2 linked regions of the Tribolium castaneum genome follow. The protein of the gene in region 1 binds, or shares a complex with, the protein of each later gene. Links are inferred from orthologs where the notes say so. Each region holds a gene or a part of one and is shown on either strand. Other genes may lie near its edges. The genes, in order: TfIIEbeta and Polr2F.

Region 1 (11,943 bases):
TTTTTAATTTAAAAAAATTAAAATTCATCCAAAAAATCACAATGTGTAGATGTGCCAACACTGGGAATTATTTCCTAGGAAACCGTTTCAAAAATAATTTATTTTTATTGTTGCTCAAATTCTATTGCGATCATGACTGTTAGACAACGTTGCCACATATCATTTATCTAAAATCCGTTATTTATCATTAACTTTAATACAAAGAATTTTTTTACTATTTTTACCTTTATATGTAACGACTTCTCTACCACACACCATTGAGTTGGTGCGCCAGTTTTTGAGCACGCTGTATAGTAACTGTACTAAAGCAATTTTTTGCACATTGACTAAAAATTGCTTAAAAATCGTTGAGTTTTTTCGAACATAGAAAAGCTTTTTTTGGCGATTTTTTTTTGAACAGAACGAAAAGGCACTAAATTAGTGAAAAATTACACGTATTACTTCTCCTTATTTTCAAGCGTTTTAGCATGATTATGTTGTTCAGCGAGAAATAATCAGAAACACAATTATTTTGCCAAATTGAATAAAAAAAATTCCGAAAAATCGAGAATTATGTAGCGAATGGTTTTATTTTTACTTTCTTGGATTTAGTTAAAATGAAACGAAAAGTTACTAAGCTATGAGTTGAAAATTTCAATATTGTTGCTTTTTTAAACGTTGTTTAACTAGAAACGCGACTATTTTGAAGAACTTTGTTTCAAAATAAGCTTAGAAGGCAATAGCTTCGTGTACAACAAAACAAAAATACTGATTTTTTTCATTTTAGACGTGAGGCAAAACCGAGACAAAATAACGTCATGAATAATGTGTGGAAAAGTGCAACTTTTCTTATTTTTTTTTAAATATGATTGATAAAATTGTAAAAACATTAGCTATTAATTGTTTGAAGTGCATAAATAATTATAACAGCTAATTTTGACAGAAAATGCGACGTTGGCGTTTTTATAATTTTGAGACAGCTAATATATCCATATTACTTCAACCAATATCACAAGATTTTGTTAAAATAAACTAAAAATCGAGCCAAAAATCGTGAAATTAGATCTGAAATATGTCATTTAAAATATTGGGGTAAACTAAAATGTAATTAAAAATTATAAAACTTTGTTAAAATATTAAACTTGATTGACAAATAAACGTAAAAGCTAAATTTGTTTCTGTTTGTTCCGAATAGCTCATCAAACTCACCAGTCATCAATTTATTTACAAAAATTCTAATATCTAATTGTAAATTCATATCTAAAGACCAGCGCATGTTCCCTTACGTGTTCAATGTTTTAATTTGTTAGATAATTTTTTTTTGATCACATGGTATTATTTATTTTTGCACTTATTTCTTTAACTACTTATGTTAATTGAACCAATTCTGAGTGATTTAACACATTTTTAAGCCAAAAACTTTCTAGGTTCAAAAAATTTAGTGAAAAAATTTAAAAAATCGCCATATGAAATACATTATTTGTCAAATAACTTAGTCAAGTGATCTAACTAGTGAATAAACTAATATTTGATTGGTTTTAATTATCTATCCCGTTTCTGCATTTGAAATATTTTACAAAAAGAAACATCCTCCAGACTAAGAAATTCTAGAAACAAGATTTGGGGATAGAAAGACTCGTGCCTGCTCAAGTAGTATAGGGACTGTACAGTAGACCAGTACCTACCCTGCGCCATCTCTTAGGTATTTGTAAAAAGTAATAACTTTCTCAATGTTGTTTTAAAAAAAACTGATAAGTAATGGTGAAATTAATAAATAAATGTTAAATTAATTAATTAATTATAATACAGGGTGTAAGCGAAGTAAGTAAATTAATTTTAACCAGTGGTAGAACTCATCAAGACAAAAACTTTTTCTATGTACCATTTCTATAAAATCGAATTTTTTAAAATCATTTTCCCTCCTATAAATTGACGAGCGTTTTATTAAGAAAAATTGTTAGTCTTGACAAGTTATATTACCAGTGAAAATTAATGTACTTATTTTATTTACAGCCTGTATATTTTAAATAGATTGTATAAAAGAAAGCAAAGATATTATTAAAAAAAACTTACACCGTACTGAGAAGCAGATCCATAGCGAAAACCTCCACCATGAATCCACACAATAACAGGGAGCCCTAAATTAAAAATCAAAGACCGTTCAAATATTTTCAGCACTGAATGAACTACTACCTTCCATTCCTGTGGGAAGACTCGGGGTAAAAACATTAAGAAATAAACAATCCTCTTTCCCTGTGACCTTATCTTCGCCAGGAACTGGCTGAACACACGGCGGCGGAAACTGCGTGGCATTTTCTAACCCTTGCAAAAAATACTGTCGCGGTCTCTAAAATTAATTTTTTCAAGTATAAAATGATTAAATGAAAATAATTTAACTACAAGAAATCTCTCTTTGCCCGTGGGGGCAAGCCCGTATCTAATGCCCCGAAAAACATAATGCGGAAAGTCCCTAATACCCAAAACTCTCGCCGTTTTTCCGCCAAATCGCGTAAACACTACAGGCTCGTCTTCAGGGGGCGGCACAGCCGGTTCCCCGCCAACAATTCTCCGAACTCTGCCACTTCGTTCATCACAATAAATTAACTTAACGGCAATTAATAACAACAGGGACAAATTCATGTCTGGGCAAAAACTTGAACGCGAATAAAAATTAGATAATCTGAAGCGACAGGAAGACAATAATTATCAAAAAACCCACGATTTTTATAATCAATTAAAACTACGAAATATTTAACATATAAATTTATTTGACTAAATTATACAGAATTCTTCTGAGTAAGTGTGTTATCTGAGTAGGTTTCAAGAACATCGGCCAAATGTTCATTATCTCGTGGTTTCTTGAACGTTTTCTTGCGCTGGCTCGTTTTGTGCCTCTTTGGAGCGATTGGCTTCTTAGGCCCATGATCCTGCATTGATCTAATTCCCTGTTTCTCTAAATATTCGTCTATTTTTGCATCGTCCATAGCGTCCACGGCCACAGAACGCCAAAGTTTTTGAAACTCTTCATCAATAGGCAAAGTGGCGGTCCTATCGTTGTAAAAGAGAACTTTTTTCTTGTCTATTGGTCGAGTTATAAAAATGATCTCGTTTTGGTTTTGGAGAATCTGGAATGAGGTCAAGAATTAAGTTGGTGTGTGCCGTTTGAACATGACATGTTGCCAACTTAAGGCACTGGCACCATAAAAAACAGCTTTAATTAAAAAACAAAACCACTTGTAAAAGGTGACATATGTTTTTATCGATTTGAAACAGATATCATCTTGCAGGAGATTTTAAAAACATTCCACAGGTATAAAACTTCGGAGGAGTAAAGACTAGGAGTAGAAACCAGATCGAGATACAAATTCACACTATTTTCTGTACCCAAAAAATCTAGCACGCTAGAGTAAAAATGAAGACGCTTCGAGCGTTAGATTGTCTTGGCGTCAATCGTTTTAAATTAATTTAAATTCAACAAATTCTCTAATTATTTGAGAAAAAAATATATTTAAAATTTAAAATATAGGTTTCGTCCCAATTTTTCAAAACGTTGCGAATTTGCTAAAAGATATAACAAAAATATTAGGAAGAAAGTTCTAGAGAATTAAATATGACTTATCCACAATCACATTATAATTGGAGTTTTATCCACACTTATGATTCTTATGGTTAAAGGGGAACATGTTTTAGTATGTTTCTAAGCCGCAAAATAACGCGGAATTTTTTTCTATTATTTTTTTAGCCATTTATTTTTTTCGAAAACTAGAAAAAGTTTTGAACCTAAAATCTTCATTAAATTTGAGGCAACGTAACACTTTTTAATTTTTTGAATTAGTTTTGAAAAATCATTAAGATTTTTATATTAAACAATATTTAAAAAACCGAAGGTAGGGCGACGAATCTCCATTTTTCGCTGATCACAAATGTATTTTTGTTTTTAAAATTCGTTAACGGAAAAGGTATCAAAACGTGAATTTTGTAAATCCTTTTGTTCCGTCATGGTGGGGTCGTGAAGAAGGCATTCCTTGGACGCAGCTGTGTATATATTAGTCACCAGCAAAATATTTTCATCCATATAGAAAAAACTTTAAGTAACTAACAAAAAAAATGTAGGTTTGCTATTTAGCAAATTTAGTTTGCTATTTTGGGAAAAGCGGTCTACCCATATTATTAAGCTTTACAAATAAGTCCTACATACAATTTTGTATATTTGATGAAAATTAGGGATCCAAAAGACTGATTTAACCCCGATATCTATAAATCATCTAGTAATGATTGGTTTTGTCTCTTTTATAATTTTTTTTACATAACTAGAATTGCTACTTTTTTCTGTATCTCAAAAACTAATAATCTTACGTAGAAATATGCGTTTGCAAAAAATGCTTTATTATTTTCTTCATGTATATGAGTTTTTTTGGATTTTTTTTTACAATTCCATAACAATAAAATTATTATTACTAATGAATTAAAAATATTAATAGTATTATTAAAATTTAAAATATGAAATGGAAACATAAATTAACCAAACTGTCATTCTAAAACAAACGATGCCCAAATGATGATTTCCATTTAAATTACGCATTTAAAAACAAACGCTAAATTCTGGTTGATTATTATGAGTAATTTCTATTTGTTTTGCCGACTTGTTCGATCCCTTTCATCTTTTTCCTAGAATGTTTCGCTTAGAGTTTCGACATATTCCGAGAAAGTCTGAGGTATTTCAAAGAATTTAATAGCACAAAAATTCGAATTCAATGTTACATGATATTATTTGCTTCTTGCTGAGCTTTCTCAATCTATCATCAGAAATCTTCATGACAAAATAATTTTTTTACCAAAAATAAATTAAAATTTGACCTATTGTTTCCAAAGTGAAAAAAAAGATTTTGTTGATGCTTCACTAAATTCAGTTCATAGAATTAACACCATAATTGTTTGTATGAATAATACTAGGATACAGAAATATCGTGTTTTACATCTTCTAGTCTTTAGTTGCTTTTGCCCTCTCTTTCTCTTGTCCCGCACTTGACTGTGGGAGATTCTCGGCGGCAAATTTTGTCAAAATGAATATTCGCGATTCGTTCAAAACTACAACAAAATTTTTCGTTTTTTGGACGCATTCTGTTCGTACCATCACTGTGCATCTTTCCCGTACACATTTTTAAAAATATTATGAATATTTGTTTAAACTTTTAATAAAAAAATATCAAATAATTTTTTTTCAAAGTCTTACGTTGTCTCAAATTATAATTATTTAAAAGAGTCAATTCCATTTTTCGATTTAAAATTGGATTACAAATATCGCCAAAAGTAGAAAAATAAATTTCATTACTACTTGTCTTTGCCACACACTTGGTTTAACTCTGTCGTCCCCTTTAGCCTTATAGTGACCTATTATCCACTAGTGGAATAAACTAGGAATTATGACTACCAGACAAAGCCTGCCAAGATTAATTTTACGATTGTGGATAAAACATTGTATTGCATTCATGTTTTAGTCGCATTTTATCCACTTGAGAATATTAAACATTCTTGCGTGGATAAAATGCTTTCGAAAACACTTATACAATAAATAGCTATTAAAAAATCTGCGAAACCAAGGGCCGTATGAATACAATTGAGTAAATGCTTTTACTTCAAATTTTGCAAGTAAATGTTCTAAATTGTATGAGTAAAAATGTAAGTATAAGTTTTTACTAAAAGTAAAAGCACACTGGGCGAGTATTTGCTTGAACGTCGAGGTTTTACTCAAAACAAAATGAATAAAACAAAGTAAATGCTTTTTTCGTTGAGGATTTAGTTCAAAATTGTTGACGCTAATCAGTAGGAGCATCAATTTTTAAAAGTAACACCTCAAACTCGAAACAATGGTGGGTGTTGTGCAACTATGGGTAAGAAAAACTTATAAACAACCTCGCGAACACATAGGATAAGATTTTAAGACTTTATATCGGTTTGAACGAAAAAATCTTCGTGCTTTGGCTAGGTATTTTTTGAGTGAGAACAACGAAATGGGAGGAGATGGAAATCCATTTTAAAAATTACAACATTGAAAACTTCACTACAATGATTTATTTTGAGAGCAGATTCTCCAAAAAACTAAAGAAGTAAAAGCAAGAGCAAATGCTTTTCCTTTATACTCATACTTTAAGTAAATACTTCAACTTTATTCATACGACCCCATATCTACATCTTCAACTATTTAGGCCCCAAAAATGTTTAAAAATGCTCACACAGCGGTTTCGTTTCATTTTATGGTCAAGTATTGGAAAATTAATTTATACCTAAACCAATGAAGATGTGGCGGACTTTTTTGTAGGAAATTTAATTCTCTACATCTATGCTTCTTACACATCTTTAGTTGAATTCGCAGCGTTTTCATATATATAAATATGCGATTTTTTGACACTGTTTTCAATAAAGTGTTTCCACTATCTTAATCTCTGACTCTTTCTGTATTAAGTTTTTAATTTAAATTAAAAGTGCAAAAAAATATAAACATTTATTATCAATTTGCAATCCGCGTTATAATTTTTAAAACATAGCGAATACGTTTAAAGGTATAAAGAAGTGTGAAGAACAAAGTTGTAAAGAAAAATAGTCGCGGACTTTTTTGTAGAAAATTGATTTTTCTACTACTTTGTTCCTAACATTTTTCTTGTATCTTTAACCAAATTAACAGCGTTTTAAAAATATGGGTCACACTGCAAATTAATATGTTTGAAATTTTTGCATTATTTTTAGTTGTTACTCTTGAAAATTTAATGCTCTATGTGCCTGTATTTTTTTGAATTGTGTTAATAGTTATTTAAATAGTCAACTGGGCTTTTTGGCGACATTACCGAAAATATTGAAGTCGGAGACGTTTTATTTGTACGTCGTTCGTTTAGAAAATAACTAAAAGAATGATACCTTCAAAGCCTTTTCGCAGTGTGGTAACGACTCTTGCACGTCGTCTAACAACACACCGCCTAACCCTTTCAAATCTTGTTGTTTCAATAGTTTCAGTAAGCTTTTCCTGTCTTTAAGTTTATATGGAGCTTTGAATAAAAATTTTCCGTCAGGAGTGACCTCAATTTTAGGATTATCGACTAACGCTTCGGTTTGCAGCCACTTAAATCAACACCATTACATTTAAGTATTGTAATAATGACACAAAATTACTTGCTTGACTTTATTCCCTACGTCTAATTGATTAGTTTCGTCTAAAATTTCCTCTAATGTGAGTGGATATGTTTCACCTTCTTGGTGTCTCTTCCTCATATGTTTCACGATTTTAGCGAGAACACCGAATCGATATTGCGAACTTCCTGTTGCTGTTTTGTATCTAAAAAAAAATCACAAAGTAATTGATTCAAATTTGCAATGTTTTGCTGCTTACGTGTTGATATCAAGTTTAGGGGTGCTACTACTAGAAGACTTAAACCTTTTGCTATCATCGCGAGTTGGTTCTGGTCTTGAATCAGTCTTTTTTCTTTCTACACTGAAAGTAGAACAAAATTAACTGAATAAGTTGACAAAATGCGAATGCTACTTACGTAGGAGTTGTAAGTGCACGTTTTTTGAATAATTCTCTTTCTTTTAGTAAGGCGGGGTCCATTTTATTGGAGAAATAATAAATAAATAATACGAACTATGTTGTTTGAGGAATAATCATCTGTTTTCTTTTGCATTTGACATTCACGGCTGTCAAAGTGACAAGTGGTGGGGGACCGATGCCTTGCGCTGTCTGTCTTTTGTGGCCGACTGTTCCTTGAACCGAATTTTATATATTTTTTTGCAATATTATTATTTAATTAATTACTAATTATAGAAATATGTAGTAATAATCGTTGTTAATTAACTCTAGTTTTTAATCGGATGTGATGCCAACTACTAGCTTGCTGTGTGGAGGTTTTTTGGTTTTTGTTTTACAATGCAAGCTGTCTCAAAATTTGCGAATTTCGAGTTCAGAGCATTGTAAAGATAGTAAAGAATCGCTTCAGTAGTCCAAATGTAGAAACCAAATGAAGATTCGGGGCTTCCCCATTACTTTGGTTTGAAGATCACTTTCTCTTTGCACTGCGTTTTCTTCAAATACGGACTAAAAGTTTAAGTGTTTATTCTTATTTATGGTGAAGATGATTGTTGAGAATAATAATGTAAAACGATTGTCGATTTCTTAAAAAATAGCTTTATTTTGGTGTAAAAAAATTAAGTTTTTGTAATTTGTTGTTACATTTTTAAGAAAAATTAAACAAGTTGAATGAATAAAATATTTTTTCTAAAAAAATTACACAATTTTTTAATTAGTTTTAAATTATTATTTTCTACAATCATCTAAGAACACCATAAATAACAATAAACACTAAAATTTTTAGCCCGCGTTTGAAGAAAACGCAATTCAAAGTAAATCTTCATTTTGTGTCTTCTCATACATTTAAGCTACGGAACTCTACAACGCTCTGAACTCGGAATAATTCGCCAATTTTGAGACAATTTTGTCCCAGCTAAGACTACCTGGGGCAGTGCGTAATTTGGGGGTGGCAATTGCCATCCAAAATTGTTCAGCTCAACATTATTTGTAATATGGAAGAATGAAAAAACAAAATTATCCAAGAAAGAGCCGACATTTTTGTTGAAGGGCTATGAAAAGTATGTTCCCTCTACTTTTTGACCTTTATATGTTTATTTTTTGCGATTCCAATAAACACAACATCTTGTGAGAGGTCTTTTTCTCGCTTGCGGCGGTTGAAAACGAACACTAGGAAGATTGGCCAAGAAAGGTTGTCTTCATTATCTCTTTTGGCTATCGAAAGAAGTGTTAATGTTGACATTTTCAAGGTAATTGATATCTTTGATACGAACCTTCACTTCACTTTGCTTAAAAAATAACTTATAATAATAACTAAAATTTGAATAAACCTTTGTTTTTTTTTATGTTTGTTTCATTTACATGAAAAAGATCACGAATTAAAAATTGGTCTACAGTAGGCCCATTTAAGAGTATCTCTTAAGTTGCGTCTAACTACCTAACATTACACATTACCTAATTAACAGTGAATCTTTAAAAAACAAAAAGATTCATAGGTACATAGCTACAGGTATTTCAGCAGTTTTAATTTCCGTTAATTTTTCTGCGATACGCGAAGAAGGTACATTTTTATATTTCATTTAGTATTTTCTTCAAATTTCAAAAGATATTTTTTTAAAACAACTCGTTAAATGTTGAGTTAAATTATGAACGTCTTTTGAGCCAATTTCTTAATCTTCTAGGTTGCTTTTTAATCCAGAAATTTTCATTTCCATTTTTGAATTTTACCGATACAATAAGCAAAAAATAGTTGCCGAGATAGGCCAGAACGATGTATTTCATTTAGGTTTTTTATTTACTTGTCTGTTTATTAAATATTTAGCGTTTTACCTCCTGAGTCAGATATTATATTCTTTGTTGGAAAAAAAACACAAAAAATCGCGCCGAATTTAGTCTAAATATACAGATAAAATTCAGATAGAATAAAAAGCCTGACGATCTGGCGATGCAACCCAAAAAACAGATTTCATTTCCGTCTTGATCTAATTTTAATTACAGATTGCATTTGCAATCCAAGTTATCTAATGTTGCTCTGTCAGTGCTTGACAAGCTTTGACATCGGTCGGTGCTGGACATTATTGTCACATTGTACCATGCGTTGCTCTTGCTGCAATGAATTTGTTTACCCAACGTTTCCCGAATAGACAAAATCCTAGTGGCATGATTTTTAAACGTCCTGAGAGGAAACTTGAAATTGGCTTCTTTGTAAAAGAAGAAAACACAGAGCTAGGTCTTTGGAAAATAAAGTTCGTGTAATAGCTTACAAATACAGAACCAACAGGCATCAGCCAGACTTCAGTTTGTTGTGTTCTATGTGAAAATAAATTTCGTTCCTATCATGTGCAGGTAGTATACAAGAACTTAGGAAAACTGAATTTGAACACAAATTAGAGTTTTGTCTCTTTATCAGAACACAAATGCAAGTTGGTAACAACTTTATTCAGAAAATTTAATTCAGTTATGAAGCCCAATTTTCTGCCATTGCTATGCTCAGAAAAATCCACTGTGGATAAGTGAAACACATTTCCAATGGTTTTGGTGAACGTTTAGTATGGCATCTCGCATCTTCGTAAAATACATAATCGAGCCTTTCTTCTTCCAAGAAAAACAAGCAGGAGACAAACGTTTTGAACACATTTTTCGCTAAAAGTAATTTTTTTGTCTCTTGTTTGTTGTTGTAATTTATGATTTCGAAAAAACTGTTTACCTATACCTTTAATAATGTTTCATTCTCTCATTCATTTTTTATTGGAGTTTACACCGAAAAGGCTTTTCTACTTTTTCTTTCATTCCGCGAGAACTGAATGACACTAATGATCGTTCTCTGCGCTAATGTCAGAGTGACATAAGATGATAGATAACTTGCGATTCAACTTGCAAATCGTAATTGAAATCGGATCAAAGCCGTAAATGAAATTTGTTTTTTGGGTTGCATCGGCAGATCTTCAGGCTCTTTATATCTGAATCAGCCTGTACGTTGTAACAATTTTATGCATTTTTAAACGACATTATGTGAGTGGTTTTTTATTATTTTATTTTGTCTAATTGAAGGATCTAGTTCTAAAGTGTACAATGACTACAATGTCTAAGTTTTTCAGGAAACGAGAAACATTCCTCGTCTTTTAAAAAACTTACTCTCGGAGGCTTCAGGGTACCGAAGCGATTGTTGAGAATTGGTGTACTACAAGTTGCATACTTTTTTTAGACCTGTTTTCAGTGACGGCTGTCAATCATCGGATAGGCATCCGACCTTCGCCTCGGGGTGTCTTGTCCCTTCTCATAAAATGCAAATAATGTAAACAAACTGAATTCCACTATCGCCCACGATAGTTTCTCTTATTTCAGAGATTCAAGCAACATACAGTGAAAAATACGTTTTTTATTTTGTTAAAAAAATTTGATACTAAAGAATAATAAAATACTAGCATAGTTTTGTTCCTTGTTTGAGTTGTTCATGCAGGCATTAAAACGAGTTGCAAATTTATCTTCAAGTCTATTGTATGATGTCGATAATAATTCTGTTGAGTCATTTAATGCAGTAGTTAACAAACTTGTTGGGGGTAAAAGAATAAATTTTTCAGAACGCGGTTCTTATCATGGAAGATGCTTTGCGGCAGTCGTAAATGTAAATAACAAAAACAAATTTGTATTTAAAATTATGGAGAAAATATCAGGGAATAGTGGCATTTACACCACAAAATTTTCAAATCGCTTATTAAAAACCAAAGAACTTCATGCTACAAAATTAAATAAAAGAAAAATTCGTATTCAAAGTGCAGATTCGGATTATGGTGCGACTAATGACATAATAGACATGCCAACAGAAACATATGACAAAATAAAAAATGAGTTCTTGAATGATTTGGCTGCTTGCGATATTTTAAAAATTCCTTTGTTAACAATTGGTCAACGTAATAATGAGCAGTGGGATAAAGAAAGAAATAATAGATTAACGGCTAGTAATTTCGGAAGAATTATTAATATGAAATGTACGACCAATACAGCGAATGCTGTAAAAGATATCTTGTATCGTGTGGGATTATCTAAATTTAAAAAATTACCCGAACCACTACAGTGGGGAATTGATAATGAAGAGAAAGCAAAGGAGAAGTTTGAACAGATCGTAGGTATAAAGGTAGATTCATGCGGCTTTTTTGTTGATAAAGAAAAAATTTTTTTAGGTGCAACACCAGATGGGTTAGTGGGTTCAAATGCTATTGTTGAAATTAAATGTCCATTTAGCGCAAGAAACACAAATATTAAAACTGCCATAGAACAAAAATTGATTAAATACTTAGAAATAGATTCTCAAGATGATAGTAAAATAGTTTTAAAAGAAAAAGATAATTACATGTATCAAGTACAAGGTCAGCTCCACATTACTAATCGCC
Region 2 (10,227 bases), on another chromosome or scaffold:
TTTTGGCGAATTACAACAGTAAGAAGAAATATCGGCAAACGGTGATGTTTACGGCAACTATGCCACCGGCGGTTGAGCGACTGGCGAGGACGTATTTGAGACGTCCGGCGGTTGTGTACATTGGTTCGATCGGGAAACCGACGGAACGGGTCGAACAAATTGTGCATATTATGACTGAGAACGATAAGAGGAAGAAGTTGATGGAGTATTTGTCCAAAGGGGTCGATCCACCGATTATTATTTTTGTTAATCAGAAGAAAGGGGCCGATGTTTTGGCCAAAGGGTTGGAGAAGTTGGGCTACAATGCGTGTACGCTCCATGGGGGTAAGGGGCAGGAGCAGAGAGAGTACGCACTGGCTAGTCTCAAGTCGGGGGCTAAGGACATTTTGGTGGCCACTGACGTGGCTGGGAGAGGGATTGATATTAAGGATGTTTCCGTTGTTATTAATTACGACATGGCCAAGACTATTGAAGGTAAGATAAGTTTGTCCCAGATTTTTTTTCTTTATGACTAGTGCAAACTGAAGAAAAAAGGAAATCTAATCTGTAATTTGTTTATTTTTTTTCAGATTACACCCATCGTATTGGCCGAACCGGCCGTGCCGGGAAGAGCGGGGTGGCTATCAGTTTTTGCACCAACGACGACTCGGCCCTATTTTACGATTTGAAGCAAATGTTGCTATCGTCACCTGTCTCAACGTGCCCCCCTGAACTAATGAACCACCCTGAATGCCAGATTCGGCCCAATCAGCCGAAACGCCGCCGCGACGAAATGATTTTCGCTTAATTAAAATAAAACTCGATGTTTACTTAGCCTTTATTCTTAAAAACAAAATCTTATTACACTAGTGGTCAATTATTATGAGTTCGTCTATGCCCCAATCCTCGTACGAGTGGTCGGGTAAATAACGCCGGATTATGATGGGGATTTTCCGTTGTTTGAGTTCTTTCATTGCGATTTGAAGCGGGTCTGTCTCTCCGTCTAGTTCCACCATAACTGGGGCACACATGGCGATTTGCAAAGCTCTTGTTCCCAAAACACGAGCTCTTTCGTATTTGGTCATGTATTTGGTTGTTATGCGTTTGTTTTTGGGCACTCCGCCCCCGGCTTGGCCATGAGCGAGGATGTCGATGTTGTCGCCTTCCTCCTCGGGCTGCTCCAGCTCCTCGATGTTGTCGTCATCGACGTCGTCGTCGAAGTCGTCCCCCACGTCATCACCGTCGAATTCTTCGTCATTCATTCTCGATTTCTAGCTAATTGACTAATTTAAAGGCATACACAAACATAGCACAACGTTCAGATGTCAAATGCGTCAAACGTCAAAAGTATTGGTTATTGGAGAGTTGCACGAAAGTGCATCAGTCCGAAACTTGTTATCGGTTCAAACAATACTTTTACTTTAGTGTATTGTTGGTTGCGTCGCAGTTGCGATAAAAACTTTTTTTGATGAAATTTTGATTGTTACGATTTTTTTAAGTTTAGTTAACAATTTGGTGCGAAAAAAATAAAACACATTAAATTCAAGCAACTTTATTGTATAAAATAATTGCATTTGTTCCAGACTTTATAAAATACCGTCTTGTCTATTATAGTGGCGGTCAGCTCGATTTGCGTGTGCGTCAATTTCATTTTTTCATTACCAACACAAAGCTATAAAAATTGTCAAAAACAATGCAAATTTAAACAGCTAAGGGCTATCTAAGGGTGGTATCCTTGAACATTAATTGACATTGACAGTAAATTATAGACGTCGTCGCATCGTTGTCGAAAGTGTGTGTTATCGGTGTTAATCGTAAGTATTTTCTGTTCGTTTATTGTGTTTTGTGATTTGCGTTTCGTTAGGTTTTTGATTCTGCGTTTATTAGTTCTTGTTTTGTGAATCTGTATTTTTTGTAACAACTTCGTAACCTCAAAAAATATTTGATAGTTTGTCACCGCTATGCCCCTGCTGTGTAAACGTAGTGAGAGAAATGTCAGATGACGCACACGCAAATGGAGCTGAGCGCACCATTGCAGTTTTGTCTAGAAATGGTAAAAATAACTGCGATTTATTGCGATGTTTAAATCACAGTGTTTGTCTAGTTAACAAACCATTTTTTGTGGTAGTTTCTAGCGTACGACTGCTTATTGATTAATTGAATAAAACGCAGACGGAGCTCGTCATAAAGCTCAAATAATTAAATAATTGCAAACAAGTTGAGAATTAAAAACCTTAGCCTAGTCATAAGTCGTACAAATTACCCTACTGGGTGTTAAGCGTGTTTGTAATGATAATGATTCATAAAGTACCTAAATCAGGCACTCTAACTACTTTGGTAGTGCGTGTAGATTATCCCTGGAGTGTTTAAGACTAGCTTCAATAAATCTAAAATTGATCAAATCATTAGGCTAAATTGTAAGAACTATTAAACATTTAAAAAATTGGCCCAAGGCCCATCGCTTGGTCCCCAATGGTTAACATGATTTTGTAACAATAAAAGTACATTACATTCGTTGTCCAATCTTAAAATCAGGCACTTGATTATGTATTTATTGAATCGAACAAAACGTGGTGTTCTCTATCACCAATAAATCGCTAAATCAACTAAATGAACTTTTGGCAATTATTCCACAGACACGTAGAACTAACAAAACAAACCCCATTCATAACAAAGACAAAAATATCACGTGCCCTTTTGCGCCCACTTCATATCATCAGCCCGCGGTTTGTAGCCCGTGGTGTGTTCAATCAGCAGCTCTAGGATGCTCCAAAAGCGCAGCTTCTCCAACGGCCAATTGAGCCACCCGGTGGTGATGCAAAAGTAGGTCTCATGCGGGGCCACATGGTGGATGCGGTGGTGGCGCCTCGGCAGAATCACATGGTGCTCCTGCAGCCACACCACCCACGCCGGCAGCCCGAAGTAGGTGTGCGACCACTTGTGTATCTGGAAAGTGGCTCCAATCAGCAAATGAACTCAGATTTATCGGGCGCGTTACCCCAGGTGTGCGTGTTTGCCACGGGCCCTATCATTTTATAAAGTATTATATCGCGAGCTGATCTAAAAGCGCACACACGACCCGAGGAATTAATTCGAATCAATAATTAACTCTACCTGATTGGTCATTGCCACGAAAATCGCCAACAGAAACACGTAGCAATTCCACGTGAACTTCCTCTCGACCCCGTCCGCAGGCAGCGTCAGAAAATCCCAAACCATCCTCGCCAGAAACGGAATGGTCACCATGAAGTTATCACCGTTGGTTTCGATAAAGTCGTGGCGGGTGATGGACGTCGGATCGATGTGGTGTTCGCGGAACGGCCGCAAAAAATTCTACACAAAATTTAAAATATCAAACATTTCGCTCTCCACTCACTTTGCCCAAGATGGGGAGCTCCACCGAGCCCCACGTGTCGGCCGCCCAGTGCACGAGTCCCGAGCCGAAATCCGCCGTCACAATGCCGCAAAACGCCGCCACCAAAATCGTGCTCAAGTTGTCCATACGGACGTGGAATATTATGAAGAAGAAGTTGACCACCATAAGGGTCAAGCAGATTCCCACGCAGATGCATTCCTGAGTCCGCTTCCCTGCAAAAAGGGAGCGGTGTGACTCGGCTAATTACACTTGGGCCCAGTATTAGTGTAAACTAGGAGGAATATTAAAAATAATCGAGTTTAATGGGTCATCGGAATAATATGAAATGTCATCAATGCATAATAAACGAACTTGTGCTAAGTAATATCGACGACAAGATCGATTCTTCCTAAATAAGCACCTATCAGAATAAAACACACTGTCGATTAGACAAACACATCAATAAAACACGAATTAAAGTGGCATTTTTTACGTTTTAACGCTCACTATAGCGTGAAACTACAATGATTCATTTTCGCGAGATATTATGTCATCGAGAGGTGGTTTCCTTTTTTGTACCTTGACGTAATTTCGTAACGGATTTATTACCACTCGAGTGATAATTTAATTTTGCCAAAAACTTACGAATGATAACACGTTTCTGTTCTAAATCCGAATATTTAAACACATTTCTTGAACATGTTACGACTTATTTTATGTAAATTTAGTTAAAGGTGAAGTAGCTTCGTACGTACAGATTGACACGTATCTGCATGATGCTTTGTGTCGTTGCAAATCTTTTATTGTATTGTAATTACACGTAACCGCAAGCTAAGTTAAGCAAAAAGGTTAATCTAAAGCAAACGTTAGTGATGATAACAAGGCCTCACTTTTCAGCATTAATTCCTCTATGGAGACATAATTTAAATTTTCTCATACAACATGTATGAATGTAAAAAACACGACAACTAACTGTACATAACTATATATAACTATTTTTCGTAAAACTGAAATAATTTAATACAACTGCCAACTTCAGCAAAACCTATTACGGTAATCCACAAGGGAAATCTTATTTAATTATAGATTAGCTGGACACAACCGTCAGCAAAAAACAAGTTTTGTGGTAGAAAATTTCAGAATTTATTCTTTTTTAATCATTTCTTACAAAATTTTGGTTTTTGAAAAAAATTAACACCTGTATTTGTGCAGTGACTAATTTTGTGCTACAGATGTTGCTATTTACGGAAAAAACGGAAAGTTAATTACTTAAAATACGATTATTTTTACACACTTGGCATTTTTCATGGTGATTATAGTCGACTGAAATTATCTAGCAGATTAATCACCCTCTAATGACGTATTAAAACACGCCTTTATTTTGCAAACCTTGGTAGTAAAATTTTATTGTACCACTTGAACATAGAATTGAAAAAACCACCACTTGTTTTAGTTCTAATTCTATTTAAGGAAACAATCCCAAATGATTGTTATCAAGGAATGAGTTTCAGTTCAATTATTTTTCCAAATGCGTTGCGATTAAAGGTAATTTGTTAAATTATAGCGATTCTTTTATTTTATTTTGTTAGGATTCTTTAATGAGAAAAATTCTCCACGAACTTGTTACGTTAATAGGGACTAAAGCCAGGTATTAGGGATAATAATACAACCCGGAAGCGCATCAAAAATAGCCAAATTTTTAAATCGGGGAATAAATCATTTTATTGACAATAATCACGTTTTAGTAATTTTGATGTGGGCTGTTGTTTAAGAAAACGTCAGTGTAATAATTTTGATGACCTGTCGAAAGAATGCTAACATCTGCCAAATATTAGCGAATAAAATGTCACTTAACAATTCCAGAAATAGTTCGTTTTTGCGCAATTTTACGTGCTCTAAATAAATAAACATCACATCACTGCAGTGACAAATTGTGTAAAAACTTTTAAGTTTTTTTCACCGATCGATCCTTTGCAAACGCCATTCTCACTCAATATTAGTTCAATTCCAACGTTATTTGTCTCACAACCAGCACATGTGCAATAACATTCTTTCATTAAAGCGTTAATAGATCTAGGACATGAAAGAATTTGAACTATTTTTTAATCTAAAACAAGCAAAATATCGCCATACCAACCGTATCTAAAACACGTAATTATACCTTAATTACGCCAAATTCTCATTAAAAAACAAAAGACAGACGAAAGATAAACCTAGACAAGCACGTGTATTTAAATAAATTTTTCTCACGCTGTAGATAATTATGCAAGAATAATATGATTGCCTTTTTTACGAAACATCATTGATAAAAGTAGGGACAATAAAGATAAACTCATTGTCCATATTGGCAAAAATTAATATCGGATTTAATTATTTGCAAGACATTTAATTAAAAATTCGTTTAAATAAAAAACAAGTCTGGTGTTAAGCATTTGTTGCACTAAACTTTTCCAAATCAATAGATTGGTTAATGTAGTATTGAAGCGGAACTACTTTCACCAAAAATCATAATAGACGCTCTTTTGCACACCGCTTAAAAATAAAATGAGCCAGTGAAACGAAAAACATGTTTTTCTCCGCAAAACTTGGACACAATCTTAGTGTGTAGTTTGGAAAAGTCAACATTTAGTAATTACTGCATCAATAACACACGAGATAACGCGTCTTAGATAATATTCCGGAATCAAGGTGATGCTAAATATGAAAAATCCGTTACAAACTGTTGTATTAAATCAGTAAATATTGGCTCGTATGACGTGTAAGCACATGACATGTGATTAAAATTTATCCTCTCTATTTTCATTGTGAACTGCTTCGTGTCGGTTTTCGCTTTCCTTCAACACTTATTGTTTCCAGTGCGATGCAGAAAAAGTGGACGTCACTTAATATAATTTAAATTTTTCTCTGATGATGATATTTGAATATGTTATTAGTGCCGCCTCTTCGAAATCTATAAAAAGTCGACTGAACTAAATTTAGAAAGCCTCGAGCTTTACGCTTAATTATTGTTCGAGACACAATACTGTTCTCGTGTTTGTATTTGAGTAAAATGTGGGTCAGGTCAGCGAAAAGGTTGAAGATCAATCAGACGAAAGCACAATCAGATAAGAGGCAACTGGACTGGACGTGGCGTAGGTGTGGTGGCTCAACAAAAGCGACGGTTCTTCGTGATTAGGCCAAGTGCAAGGAAAGGTCGTTAAACCGCATTTAAATTCAGGTGCGGGACAACAAACATAATTTGCCATAAAGATGCCAGAGGTAAAACTACGGATTACTATAGCTTAGGACACGAAACGACGTACTAATAGAACGTCCCTGTTTTCGATAGTTTAATTTAATTCTCCACAACTTTTTTCTCAACATTTTTCTTGTATCTTTGACCGTAATCGCAGCGTTTGGCCATTTTGTAGAGGGGGGTGTTAATTTTTTTAATTTTTTTTATTTTCTCAATTACGACTAAACTGTTTGAAAAAGTGGAACTGTTTTAATTCACACCTATGCAAAATGATCCGGGGAATCGATTGGCATCGAAAAAATTGCCAAATTCCCAATAGTTTTTTAGTTATGAATTTTTTAAAATTTTACCAATTTTTGCATTTATCTGCAATTTGCTCAAAAACTATTAGTCGGAGAACAATATTTTTTTTTGAAAAAAATAGATAATTCAAAGAGCTTTCCAACGATAATAAACTTCATGGGGTTATCTCTGATAGTTCCGGAGCTATTGCTCAACAAATGTTCCGGGTACCCAAAATCGACAAAAATTGCGACGAAAATTGAAAAAATCAAACATCAAAAAATCGAACATATGGACTTTTTTTGGACTTTTAACAACTCTAGAGAGTTGTAAAGGCATATATAAATACGAAAAAGTATGATAAAACGAATTTAAAAAAAAAATTTTTTTTTTCATTTTCTTGCAGGCATGTGTATTACACAGGAAATTTTAGCAAAAAAAAATAAAAATTTTAAATCTCATGAAAAGCTCGTATAATACAGAAAATGAGCCGCTGAATTCAATGGAACAAACCGCATTGCTCTACGACTTTTAGTTTTTGAGTTATGAATTTAAAACTATTTGGCGTCCTCATTTTACTCTGCTGTGTGTCAATTTTTTGGAAAGTACAGAATATTGTTTCTCTTAATCTAGTCCTCCGTATGATAGATTCGCTGAAATTCGCTTTGACCGTTGTTTTTTCTAACATTGTTGAGAAAATATCAATCAAAATAAAAGTACTGTTATCGCATTTTCTAAATTATTAGAAATCAACAACGACTTCGTTCAGATTTGTTATCAGATATTTCCCCACAAATCTCTAGTGAGTGAAATGATTGTTATAATACGATAGGTAAAGCGACATTTTTAGAATGACAATCATTTTACATTATTTCAAATTTTTGAATCTAGGAGGTTTAAACGTCAAATTGAGGAAACAAACACACCACCAAAAATAATTGGACAGGTGTCATTCTCATTTTAATAAATCATCACGAGTGAAACCCCCATGTGTACGCCACTGCATTTTGGTCTCCATTGAGACGTCGTGGCCTACAGTTAAATATAGTCGGGGGCCGCGTTGTCGCCAAACCTTATGTCATCACCGTGGAATTTCATTGATTCGCGCGTCGCGTACCCTTGCTGTAGAGATTGGCCAGCTCCTGAGCCCCCTTGTGCTGGGGTCCCCACCGGGGGCGCGTCTTCTCCTCCTGGGTGACGGCGCAGTTGGCGTTGGGGTCGTCCTCCAGCATCGAGTTCTCCAAAATTTGGCGCTCGGTCTTGACGGGCGCCAGGATCTTGGTGGCCATGATGTCCAGGTGCTGTTCGGAGAGCACCTCCTTCACGCGCTTCGAGCAGCTGAGCGGCAACGCCATCCCCGTAGCTACGAACCCTCGGAGGTGTCACAACCAGACGCGATCACAGACTGGTCGTTCACTGGCATGGTGTTCGTCGCTAGGCACCGGCGACACCACACGAACGCGACGCTCGATCACAACTGAACCGACCCACCGCTCGAGGGCGGAGCACTAGGTCGAAGGCATGCGTCACCGGGACGTGGTGGTGGACGCTCACACCGGCGCCAAAGTGTCTTCCGAAAACGTTTAACGGCTATCTTCAATGAGTGGTCGAAGTGGAACGGGCGGAATTTAGGCAAGAAAACTGAGGTTTCTAACAGATTTTTTGTTATGAATTTTTTAAAATTTCACCAATTTTTGCATTTATCTGCAATTTGCTCAAAAACTATTAGTCGGAGAACAATATTTTTTTTTTGAAGAAAATAGATAATTCAAAGAGCTTTCCAACGATAATAAACTTCATGGGGTTATCTCTGATAGTTCCGGAGCTATTGCTCGAGAAATGTTCCGGGTACCCAAAACCGACAAAAACTGCGACGAAAATTGAACATATGGACTTTTTGTGGACTTTTAACAACTTTTGTGGGTTGTTAAGACATATGGAAATCCATAAATATTGAATAGACTGTATGTAATTCACCCTCTTTCTCCTTTTTTTTCCCACTTTTTTTTTTGTTACCGATTTAGAGCAATTTTTTAGGTTCGCATTACATTTTAAACATGTAACCGCGCCATTTTTTTAATTTAGTTACCGGATTAGCGTTATTTTTAGGTTAGAAATTGTTTTTTAAACACGTGCCCGCGCCATTTTTTTTATTTATTTACCGAACAAGTGCACGTGTCCGCGCCATTTTTAAATTTTATTACCGATTTAGTGCGATTTTTTAGGTTGGCATTACTTTTTAAACACGTGTCCGCGCCAGTTTTTTTAATTTAGTTACCGGATTAGCGTGATTTTTAGGTTAGAAATTGTTTTTTAAACACGTGTCCGCGCCATTTGCTTTATTTATTTACCGATCAAGTGCACGTGTCCGCGCCATTTTTAAATTTTGTTACCGATTAAGTGCCCGCGCCATTTTAAATTTTGTTACCGATTTAGTGCGATTTTTTAGGTTGGCATTACTTTTTAAACACGTGTCCGCGCCATTTTTTTAAATTTAGTTACCGGATTAGCGTGATTTTTAGGTTAGAAATTGTTTTTTTAAACACGTGTCCGCGCCATTTGTTTTATTTATTTTCCGATGAAGTGCACGTGTCCGCGCCATTTTTAAATTTTGTTACCGATTAAGTGCCCGCGCCATTTTAAATTTTGTTACCGATTTAGTGCGATTTTTTAGGTTGGCATTACTTTTTAAACACGGGTCCGCGCCATTTTTTTAATTTAGTTACCGGATTAGCGTGATTTTTAGGTTTGAAATTGTTTTTTAAACACGTGTCCGCACCATTTTTAAATTTTTTAACCAATTTTGTGCAATTTTTTAGGTTGGCATTACTTTTTAAACACGTAACCGCGCCATTTTTTTATTTATTTACCGATTAAGTGCACGTGTCCGCGCCATTTTTAAAATTTTGTTACCGATTTAGTGCGATTTTTTAGGTTGGCATTTTAATTATGTTTTAGCTTTAAACTTGTCCAAAATTGCTTAAAAGGTGACAAATATATTTATCTACAAATCGACAAATTAATTTTCACACAACTGGTAAGTTTTATCTAAATACACAATAACCGACCCTCGTATATAATTTCAAACCACCCTCGTATACAAAGATTTAGTGTTGGCGCACTTGATTTCCACTAAATACGTCACTAAAGTCACCAGATTATTGATTTTCTTGAACTACAAATACGGGGGCAGTTTTAAAAATGTTTGAAATCTTAACTTTGTGGTGTACAAGTGGCTTGCAGGACAATTTTTCTAGTCTCAACACTCAGTGTGTCCACGTGTTAGAGGGCTGTTTGAAAAATAAATAATTTTCGATTTTTAAAATGGATTAAAATTAATGGCGGGGACAATAATTTTTGGGGCGCCCTCATATAA

The links.
Region 2: TfIIEbeta (region 1) and Polr2F share a complex: the UniProt entries of both Homo sapiens proteins name them as parts of the TBP-based Pol II pre-initiation complex. The link is inferred for Tribolium castaneum from reciprocal best matches to the Homo sapiens genes GTF2E2 and POLR2F.

What each region holds. Positions count from the first base shown.
Region 1 is NC_087396.1:10,266,770-10,278,712, forward strand, and holds TfIIEbeta (general transcription factor IIE subunit 2), read right to left. Parts: upstream 7,695-11,943; 5' UTR 7,580-7,694; coding exon 7,518-7,579; intron 7,463-7,517; coding exon 7,361-7,462; intron 7,307-7,360; coding exon 7,144-7,306; intron 7,093-7,143; coding exon 6,892-7,092; intron 3,105-6,891; coding exon 2,757-3,104; 3' UTR 2,728-2,756; downstream 1-2,727. Other genes in the region: carboxylesterase 1E, read right to left, coding at 2,053-2,117, 2,173-2,326, 2,380-2,619. UniProt on the Homo sapiens protein: Recruits TFIIH to the initiation complex and stimulates the RNA polymerase II C-terminal domain kinase and DNA-dependent ATPase activities of TFIIH. Both TFIIH and TFIIE are required for promoter clearance by RNA polymerase.
Region 2 is NC_087398.1:1,174,312-1,184,538, reverse strand, and holds Polr2F (DNA-directed RNA polymerases I, II, and III subunit RPABC2), read right to left. Parts: upstream 1,242-10,227; coding exon 846-1,241; 3' UTR 800-845; downstream 1-799. Other genes in the region: probable ATP-dependent RNA helicase DDX23, read left to right, coding at 1-474, 570-787; Kua (plasmanylethanolamine desaturase 1), read right to left, coding at 2,665-2,925, 3,094-3,312, 3,356-3,567, 7,969-8,206. UniProt on the Homo sapiens protein: DNA-dependent RNA polymerase catalyzes the transcription of DNA into RNA using the four ribonucleoside triphosphates as substrates.